Canis lupus familiaris: one gene and its partner. The protein of the gene in region 2 purifies or fractionates together with the protein of the main gene of each other region. This does not show direct contact. Links are inferred from orthologs where the notes say so. Each region holds a gene or a part of one and is shown on either strand. Other genes may lie near its edges.

Region 1 (5,107 bases), on a different chromosome or scaffold from region 2:
ACACACACACCACATGATGATGGACAACTCTAAAACAAAAATCAAAGAATATACATTTTTAAAGTTACTACAGTGAGGTTCAAACTCAAGCCTAGCTTAAGAATTGCTGCTCTTACTGCCACTCTTCAACACTGCAACTAAAGACTTTCCCAAAATGCAGAAATAACTTGTCACCTGGGAGAAGTAGGTACTTTATTCTGTAGTCACTGGAAAGCCAAGTCAAGCCTAACTTAGAGTTCAAAGCTTTCTTTAATTTGATGCAAACCTTTCTTCCTCTCAGCGCAGAAGGTTCCCAATACATTAACAAGTCCTACTTCCCACCTACCTCAGCCAAACAATGTATCCAAACCTACCCAATCATTCAAAAGTGAGTTTAAGCGGCCCCTTTCTGTGAAACTTTTAATATTTCCAATATAATCTCTCAATAAATGTTAATACTCAGTACTCATTAGGCATTAGGTACTGGGGATACCAAGAAATAGTTCCTGTACACATCAGTCTCAACGTGGATAAGAAAACCTTGGGCAGCCCGGGTGGCTCAGCAGTTTGGCGCCGCCTTCCACCCAGTGCGTGATCCTGGAGACCCGGGATGGAGTCCCACGTCAGGCTCCCTGCATGGAGCCTGCTTCTCCCTCTGCCTGTGTCTCTGCCTCTCTCTCTCTCTCTCATGAATAAATATTTTTTAAAAAACCTTAACACAATAGAATATTCTAGTATAATAAAGAGCTACAGTAGCACCTAGGTAAGTAAATAAATAAATAAATAAATAAATAAACCCACCAAGAAATCTGCTCCAGGCTATCAGAGATGACTTATTAAGGGAAAAGAGAAGAGATGCACCATGAACCATTCCAGATCTTTAGGAAAGTATCTCTATGTAAATATTATGCATATTTCCACTAAACATTGATCATCCTTTACCAAAAACTCACAGTGACAGACTGTCTTATACACAGTGCTGTTGTTAACTGAATACTGCTATACTTTCTTTATAGCATCAGTTAATTCATACTGTAGCAAGATTCCAAATAAAAAAGCAAACTTGGCCAATCAACTTCAATCTTCTATAGACCAAAGCTTTTAATTGAGTCTCAAAAAAGCAGGAAACCTGATCCAAACCTTGATTTCCCTGTCCAAAAGTATCTTTATGATTAAAAATATCAACAAACAAGTGATCAAAGCCACAAACTGCCCCCAATGAACAGCCTACTCCTGAATAAACAAGAGCAACATCTTCAGTTTCTAATTATTTTGCAAAAGGTTACATCCGGATTAGTCTAAAGACAGAAGAGTAAGTGCCTAAACAACCTTCAGGGCTAAAACAGTGTTTAAATCCTAAATACCGGGCAGCCCGGGTGGCTCGGCGGCTTGGTGCCTGCCTTTGGCCCTGGGCGTGATCCTGGGGTTCCGGGATCGAGTCCCGCATCAGGCTCCCTGTGGGGGAGCCTGCCTCTCCCTCTGCCTGTGTCTCTGCCTCTCTTTCTCTGTGTCTCTCATGAATAAATAAATAAAATAAAATATATATCTCATATAAAATAAAAAATATCTCATGAATAAATAAAAAAATATAAAAAATAATAATAAAATAAATAAATAAATCCTAAATACCTACCCCCACAACGAGAAGAGTATTAAAGTCACTGCCCATTAATTAGCATGTCGCAGAGAGCTGGACTTCAGTTCTGGCGGGGAACACAATTATTCCAGGGCATTCACATCCTGGTCCCAACCAACCTTTCCAGATTCGCCTACACTTTCCCTCCCTGCAGCGCCACAGTCCACTACTCAAACACACTTTTCAGGACTCCTTGCCTCGTTACAAGATGTCCTCTCAGGCTCAAATGTCCTCCCCTAATTTAAAACGGATTGATCCGTTTAGGCCAGGGACACGTCACCTCCTCTATGGAAGAGTCCTACCTAGGCAGGAATTAATCACTCCGTTACCCAGAATCCCAGAACATGCGGCCTGTATTTCTATTTAAGCGTTAATTTGCCTCATGAAAGAATGAAAACGTATACACACACACACACCTGTCTCCCCAGGAGCCTGTAAAACTTTGCACGGCCTTACTCTTTGTTACTTCGGACTCACACGGAGCCAGCACCTGGAAACGACCCGTGAAAATACAAATGACTCCTGGAAGCCTCCCGTTCGACGAACGCTTCAGATTCCAGGTCAGAAAAAAAAAAAAAAAATCCTAAGGAACGCGCCTCCCAATGCCCATGCCTCATCTTCTCTGAAGTGACCCTATTTCCTGTCATTTCTGGAAACTGGATACTCCCTCAAGAACTCCGGCTTATTCTCAGCATTTTCCTAAATTCCGTGTTCTCCGAATTCCACAAAACGATCAGGTACCTCGAAAGCTTTGACCGCTGGGAATAATAACGTGCCTTTCCCTCTTCCACCAATCATCAGTCTCCAAGGGGGGGGGGTGGGGAACAAACACCAATATACAAGTGATCACGGGAAGAAAAAACTACCAGATTTTATGTCCAAATCACTTCATACAAAAAAAAAAAAAAAAGTATTTTAGATGCCTGATTAGCCGAGACGAAGAGGAACGGGCCTCAAGCAGGCTACGCTCGAGTTGGCGCTGCCGAAAAGCGGCTGCCGTGTTCCCGGGCTCCCCCGACTCCCCCGGGCACGAACTGCGCCCGCCACAGTTCCGTGAGGCGAGGGCGACTCCCGGCTTTCACGCCCGTTTCCCCGATTCGCGGCCCTGGCCTCCCCCCCGGCGAGCCGTCTGAACGAGGCCTTCCGCTCGGAAAAGAGAAGCAACTCTGAAGGAACAGGACCCAAACGCGGAACAAAGCGCCTGCCCGCGGTGGAGGAGTAGGACGCCATTACGTGGGGCAGTGGCCTGCGCCGCTAGCGCCGAGGAGCCGACCAGGGCCCCCACGCGCGGGCGCGGCACCCCACCAACGAAACCACAGGCCGAGGCAAAAACCGAGTAAAATCGAGTCTTGGCAGGCTGGCAGCAGAGAAGACGCGGGAGCACGGGAAGACGCCTTACCTTCGTGGGTCTTGGCGATCTTCGCCATTTTGTCCACTCGAACACACAGACGGAACTGGCGCTCCCCAGCACTTCCGCTCGCCGCCGCTGCCACGGAGAAAAATAGCTGGGGAATGCTCTCTGCGCGTGCGCCAAGCGGGGGCGCGCGCCGCCGCGCGACACGTGACGGAGCAGCCGCCTAGAGGGAACAGAGCGATGCATTGTGGGGGAGGGGGAGGAGCCAGGGCCCGGCGCGGAGGCGGTTTTCGCGGTGGCGGGAGGAGGAGGGCTAAGCGAGTCCTGACGCGGGGGCGGGGGCGGGGGCGACGGCGACTGCTCTGGAGGGAAGTGGGTTGTGCGAGGACCCGCTGATAGTCACTGCGAGAGACGCTGGATTTCAGGCCCGTCCGAAGCCTCAGGCCGTCAGTTCTCGTCCTCCACGTCGAGCGGAGGTGTGTCGGTGCCAGGCGAGAGCTCCTGTGGCGTCTCTCAGCGGCTGCAGTGGGTAGTTGTGGAGACACACACCAGTCACGTCCTTCGCGCTGAAATTCAAGGTCATTTTTCTTTCTTCTTAAAGAATTACTTGCCATTTGGGTAGGAGTTTCGTGCACAACATTATTATTTCCAGACACTGTTGTACCTCACAAACAACCCAGGAAAGTGGGCGAGTTGTTGCTAATCCCATTTAAGAAAGGAGAGGAAAACTAGGGCGGGGGTGTAAATAAAATATGCAAGGTCACACCCTTACTGAATTACCCGGGAGGAACTGTGCCGTCCTTTTTTAAAGCCTTTTAATTTCATAGGTTCTTAGAAAACCACTGGCTGTCAGCATTAACACTGATGGAATGCCTTTCTTTTTTTTTTAATTTTTATTTATTTATTTATGATAGACACACAGTGAGAAAGAGAGAGAGGCAGAGACACAGGCAGAGGGAGAAGCAGGCTCCATGCAGGGAGCCCGACGTGGGATTCGATCCCGGGTCTCCAGGATCGCGCCCTGGGCCAAAGGCAGGCGCCAAACCGCTGCGCCACCGAGGGATCCCTGGAATGCCTCTCTTAATCCTAAATGTCACTCTTGAATCAGGAATTTTTAAAAGCTCCAAATATGGCTTTTCTTTTTTTTTTTTTGCCTACTCCTCAATTACAAAAGCATAATTTTGAACTGCCACACTGGCCTTGGACTTTAGGATTAAAAAAGAACATAACTTTGAGGGGAAGTTGGTACAGGAAGCAGCCTAAGGAAACAGGTAAGGATTAAGGTTAGAGCTATCACCAAAAACGTTTGCCTGGCTGTGTAACAGGATCACAACATGAGTATTTAGTAGAAACTTTAGTAACAAAAATGGGACTTAGTATCAATGAAAAAAATCAATTTGATGAGAGAAAATTTTCAATTTTCAATTGTTTTAATTTAGGTTAAACAATAGTTGAGGGAGGAAAGGGTTAAGAGAACATGTAGATTGTTTTTTTAAAAAAAGATTTTATTCATGAGAGATAGACACAGGCAGAGGGAGAAGTAGGCCCCCTGCAGGGAGTCTGACATGGGACTGGATCCCAGGGACCACAGGGGTCACGACCTGAGCTGAAGGCAGACACTCAACCCCTGAGCCATGCAGGCGTCCCAAGAACATGTAATTTTATGAATTATTGGTAAACTCTAGTTGTTGAATTGGCAGAGTGCCCACAGATATTCCTTACATAGTTTATAACCTACACATAGATTGCACATATTCTTTTATATATATAAAATAGCATGTTTTAAAATAATGAAAAAAGGATGAATGGGAAATAAAGAATTACAGAAGGGTGTTATGATCCATCAATAATCAACAATCTAAAAAAATCCATGTTGACAAAAAGAATCACAAGGACATGGCATTTCTTGGCTCTTATTTAAAAATAGGAAGAAAAAAAAGAAAAAAGAAGAAAGGTAAATTTGTATATACAAGACAATCACTGTCCTGTCAAAATATATGCAAAGGAAATTCACCAAAGTGTTAATAGTGGATGCCTATGACTGGTGAAATTATGAACTTTAAAAATAATTTTTAGTATTTTCCAGATACTTTGCTATAAGCACATTTTTATAATACACAAAAGGAATATATTAAAAG
Region 2 (4,885 bases):
AGGGAGAAGAATCATCATCATTATCAGTGGCAAATTTACATATAAGCATTATCTCTTTTAACGAATGCGAAGTCACCAACTGAATTTCTCAAATTTTCCCAGCTAAACCAAAACCTCAGAACCAAGATATATTGATTTTTGTTTTGACTTCTGAGGACCATGTACACACCTATTTCCTTGATATTTGCTAATATGATGTCAAGAAAGCTTGTATAATTGTAATGGTGTGGAGAGAGATCATCCTATCAAGTAACAACCCCCATTCTGGTTTTTCTCCCATGCAAATGATTTTTCTGTGGAATCTTAGATTTAAAAAAAAAAAAAGGAATCTTAGATCATCTTTATTCACTACAATTTTAGTGCTTAGAATCACCTTTCTGAATGACAGCCAAAACAGACGGTCTTTCCGTATGTTACAAATTTTTCCTTTAGTCTCCACCTGTACATCCTAAGATTTTCTGCATTATTATTCTATCACATTTTTATTTCCTGTAAGAAAAAATCCACCAACCAATAATCTCAACTCACTACTTCAATGAGGAAATCAAGACTTCCGTTATAATACTGGTATAGTTGTTCAATAGGGTATGGCTCTATTCAGTTTTCCTGGGATGGGCACTAAAACATTTCATTTTTTCATTTTGAAAATTCACATGTAAGTCCTGACATTTCTGATAATACATCCTCACCTTGATTGGCAGGATACTGCTTATGACCATACGAATCCGATGCATTCTGAGGACATTTCTCTTTAAAATTTTCTTTCGAAGTAGGCATGTGCAACACAGGACCATACTCATTACGCAGCTTGATTGCCATTTTCCGTTTGTGACTATTTAAAAATTATGAACATAAGAATGTATCTTTGAGTGCTTTAAATATATTAGCCAAAAGAAATATAGACAGCCAAGAACACAAGTACTTAAATAGCTTAGGTTTGCCTAATCATGTAGAAAAAATTCTATGAAGTTTTTAAAGTTAAATAGTATTTTAAAAAGCTTGGAATTTCCAAGTGCATTTCCACACTTTTTTTGTTCCCAATCCACCACAGAGCATCCATTAAGTCTAAGTAGCATTTTAATTTGTTAACCAATAAATATATAACCTTTCATGATAAATTACCAAGGGTCTGATTTAAAAACATATAGAAACTAATATATCCTTTTAAAAACCTCAGTCAATACACTTTCCTTCAAATGTGTCAATATAAAAACACAGTAAAAGCTTCTATCATAACCTTTACTGGATGTATCTAAAAAGACCAATTAGAACTAATCAAAGTAGTTAATTAGTTCAATATTTTTTAAAGAAATGCACTTATATTAGTCTTAAGAACAGCTCACTTAATAAATTAAATATAAATGCTTGTCTTAGGAATTAAGTAGATTTTAAAAGAAGGGTAAAGGACAAAGAAGGAACACTGCACATAATGCAATCCCAGACTGGAGCTGGAGATGTAGAACCAAAAATATGCCACCACTCAAAAATCTTCATCATACTAACGAGAAAAGATGGGAGTAGAGGTACTGGCCAGGTACAATTTCAGCTCAGCAAGGCTCTGAGAGCAGCGGGAAGCTGAAAGCACATACAAAGTGATTGATTATAAAATAAAACACCTAAAAGGGACTCTCCTAATTACTGGGTATTTATAAATGCAATTAATTAATGGGACTTTTTATTGTGAAAGACAAGGCCAAAAAAAGTTAAATCAGCTTAAATCATGCCCAAACACCATTCATTACCGAATAGACATCCTACGAGTGTTAGTATCACTCACTAAGCTTTAAAGGTCCCCCTCTCCCTGCTCTCTTCCCCCAACATTAGAAGTTACATATTCCAGTAACTGAAAAGGAACAATACCTACCTCTCTTCATCCAAAGGCACAGGTTTTCCGTTATCAGCTACAAACATGTCATGGGTTCTCTTCAATGACCTGAACACAAGTGTGTGCACAGAATGTTTCTGTACCTCCTAAAAAGAAAGAACAGAATCACATATCTAGCTACAAATGACACATACCACAACCTAAATTAAGTCAAAGCAGCCATACACTTTACACATTTAAATATGTAAAAAGCTTTGTACCACTCACCACAGCTATTTGTAGCAAGCGATAGAAGAAGTCAAGGTCAGAGAGGAGGAGGAAGCTCCTCAATGGCCAGAGCCCCAGGTATACCAATTAGTGATGCCTGAGCTTAGCCATTGATTCGAACAAGTATTTACTGAGTTCCTACTATGTGTCTGGCAGGCACTGTGCTAGAAGCTAACAAAAGAATGATGACAAGGCAGCCATGGTCCCAGTGCTCAAGAGAAAACGAAAAATAAGCAACAAATCTTTGATAAGTGCTATGAAGGAAGCAAGCCAAGAAAGAACCTAGGATAGTTATGAAAGATCTCTCTGAGGTATTCCTTAGGCAGAAATTCAGCCTCGTGCAGAGCAGAGGTGAGAACAATCCAGGCAGAGAGGAAATGCCAGGTACACAGGGGTTTGGTGGCTGCAATGATGGCCGGAGCTGCAAGAGAACTGTGCATGTTCCACTGGAAGGTGGACTGTGAGGCTGGGATGAGGTTGCAAGGGTAGACAAGGTGCAGATTAGGTTAAGGATTCTTTTTTTTTAAAGGATCACTGCAACAGTCTGCACTTTTGCTCTAGTGACATCTGGCCAGCGAAGGATTTTAAGCAGAAAAAAACGCGATCAACGTATATCTTAAACAGATCAATTTTGCAGAGGGCGAAGAAATGGAAGCGAGAACACCAGCAGGGAGCTAAGGCACTCGTGCAGACGAAGGATGACGCCGGATCTGAATTAAGGCGAAGGCAGTGGGTCTGGACAAGGCTCCAGAAGTATTTCTGAGATGAGACGGGCAAGGCTGGCTAACAGTTTGATGCAAAACTTCAAAATGGCAGGTCTTCCTGGGGGCAGAGCTGGAGGAAGACCGCCCGCCTCAGGACACACAGCCCCTGACGCTGCTCTGCAGGCGGGGACCCCGCGGGGCCGGACGCGGCGCCTCCGGGGGCCCGGCCGAGACCCGACGCTCAAGAGCCAAATACGGACCGTGGAAACTCAGTCGGGCTTCGCGGCCGCGGGTAACGTCCAGCCAGGGCTCCCACCCGGCCTTCCTCTGCCCCTGAAAACCTTCAGAGACCACCCGGCCTCGGCCAGACAGCCCCCCTCCGCAGCCTTCACCATCCCCAAACCGCGAACACCCCCCCACGCCCGCCGCCAAGGAAAAACACCGCGGAAGCCAACGACCCCTCAGCACCAAGCGCCACCTTACCTCGACCATGATGCTGCCGTGCGACTCGCCGCTCCAACAGACAAGGGACACCAGCCCGCAACACAGAAGCCGCCGCCGCCGCCGCCGCCGCGCAGCCCTTCCGGAATCGAGCGCCCTGGCGCCGGAAGTGGGGCCTCCGCGCAGGCGCGGTAGCCGCCCGGCGGCCTTCTGGGATCGAGGGGCGGGGCTTTCTCCAGAGGGGCGTGGCCTCGGCGAGGTGGGCGGGGCTCAGCGGCGTCCCGGAGGAGGTCTTGGAAGAGCCTTCGGCTCGGACTTAAGTAGTTCGGTTCAGGGGTGTGGTTGTTTGCGCTGTGCCTCCCCAAGCTTAATCCTTTAATTTTATTTTTTTTCCCAGCGAACCCAAGGAGTCCGTTCTAGGGAGGGTCTGGAGAGAGCGAATCCCGGTCCGCGTCCAGCTCCCCTGATTGACGTCTCGGCTCCCGCTGCGCCGCGGGGCTGCCCGGCCTGGAAGCCTCCGCGCGCTGCGGCCTCGGCTGCCGAGAGCACCTGCGCTGATGCTGTCCCGTTAACCCTTGGCGGCCGGATGTTGCGGAACACTTTGCATTTGAGAAAGTGTGCAAAGATCTTTGTTGTAGCCCTGTACGGCAAATCCCCACATTTATTTTTACGCTGCATAGATTTTTTTTTTTTTAAATCTCTCAAAACCGCACGATTTTCAGCCAGTCTGCTAATGAACGTGGTGGCGTCGACAGTATCAAAGGGCAGCTTTTCAAAGCTGGCGGAAGAAAGACACAACTGAAGACTCGAGCCACTTTTATTTATACACATCCTAGTGCCAAAATAGCAGTATTTTATATTGTCTTGTCTTAGGTAAAATGCAGTTTTCGATCAAGCCTGTCCCATTACTTTTCTATGCAAACAGGAGTTGAACATTTGTAAATCCGATAGGCAAATATTTCACTGGCCCTGCTTGTTCCTTAAGCTAATCAATTCCACTGATCTCAGCATACCGCATGGGCTTGGAGAGGGAAGAAGTCTTATTGAGGGACACCTGGGGGGCTCAGTGGGGGAGCATCTGCTTCGGCCCAGGACCCAGGATGTGACCCTGGGGTCCCTGATCATCGGGCTCCCTGCAGGGATGGAGCCTGCTTCTCCCTCTGCCTGTTTCTCTGCCTCTCTCTCTGTGTCTCTCATGAATAAATAAATAAAATCCTATCAAAAGTATATCAATGTGAATTGCTAATCTCATTGGATGTACATTGATTCTTAATTAATCAAAAACATTAAGGTCATGTTTCTACTTGAAAATACAATCGTGTTTGAATTTGAGTGAGTTTGGCCTACTGAGTTTCTGCAGCAGTAGCCACTGGTGGTGGGCCTCATAAAGAAATTCTATAATGGTGCAATATGTACTTGGGAACCTACATCATATTTTAACTTCCTCATAGATAGTGATAACTATACAAAAGAATACTATTTTTAAAGGTGATGAAATTATAGAAATGTAAACAAGATTCTAATATATCTATGGCAATATAATAACTGTCTAGTTGGGGCCTGTTAACATGTTAATCATCCAGGAAAGAATTGTATAAACCCAGACTCATCAAACATTGTAATAGTTGAGATAAATTACACTAGACTA

The links. Proteins that work in one complex are often made in the same cells at the same time.
Region 1: the proteins of PLRG1 (region 2) and SF3B1 purify together in Homo sapiens (co-immunoprecipitation; 3 studies listed by BioGRID and IntAct, with this or other methods). This does not show direct contact. The link is inferred for Canis lupus familiaris from reciprocal best matches to the Homo sapiens genes PLRG1 and SF3B1.

Annotation. Positions count from the first base shown.
Region 1 is NC_049258.1:6,838,770-6,843,876, forward strand, and holds the start of SF3B1 (splicing factor 3B subunit 1), read right to left. Parts: upstream 3,174-5,107; 5' UTR 3,043-3,173; coding exon 3,015-3,042; intron 1-3,014. UniProt on the Homo sapiens protein: Component of the 17S U2 SnRNP complex of the spliceosome, a large ribonucleoprotein complex that removes introns from transcribed pre-mRNAs.
Region 2 is NC_049236.1:52,570,819-52,575,703, forward strand, and holds the start of PLRG1 (pleiotropic regulator 1), read right to left. Parts: upstream 3,435-4,885; 5' UTR 3,289-3,434; coding exon 3,280-3,288; intron 1,972-3,279; coding exon 1,865-1,971; intron 1,576-1,864; exon of another isoform or gene 1,504-1,575; intron 833-1,503; coding exon 690-832; intron 1-689. UniProt on the Homo sapiens protein: Involved in pre-mRNA splicing as component of the spliceosome. Component of the PRP19-CDC5L complex that forms an integral part of the spliceosome and is required for activating pre-mRNA splicing.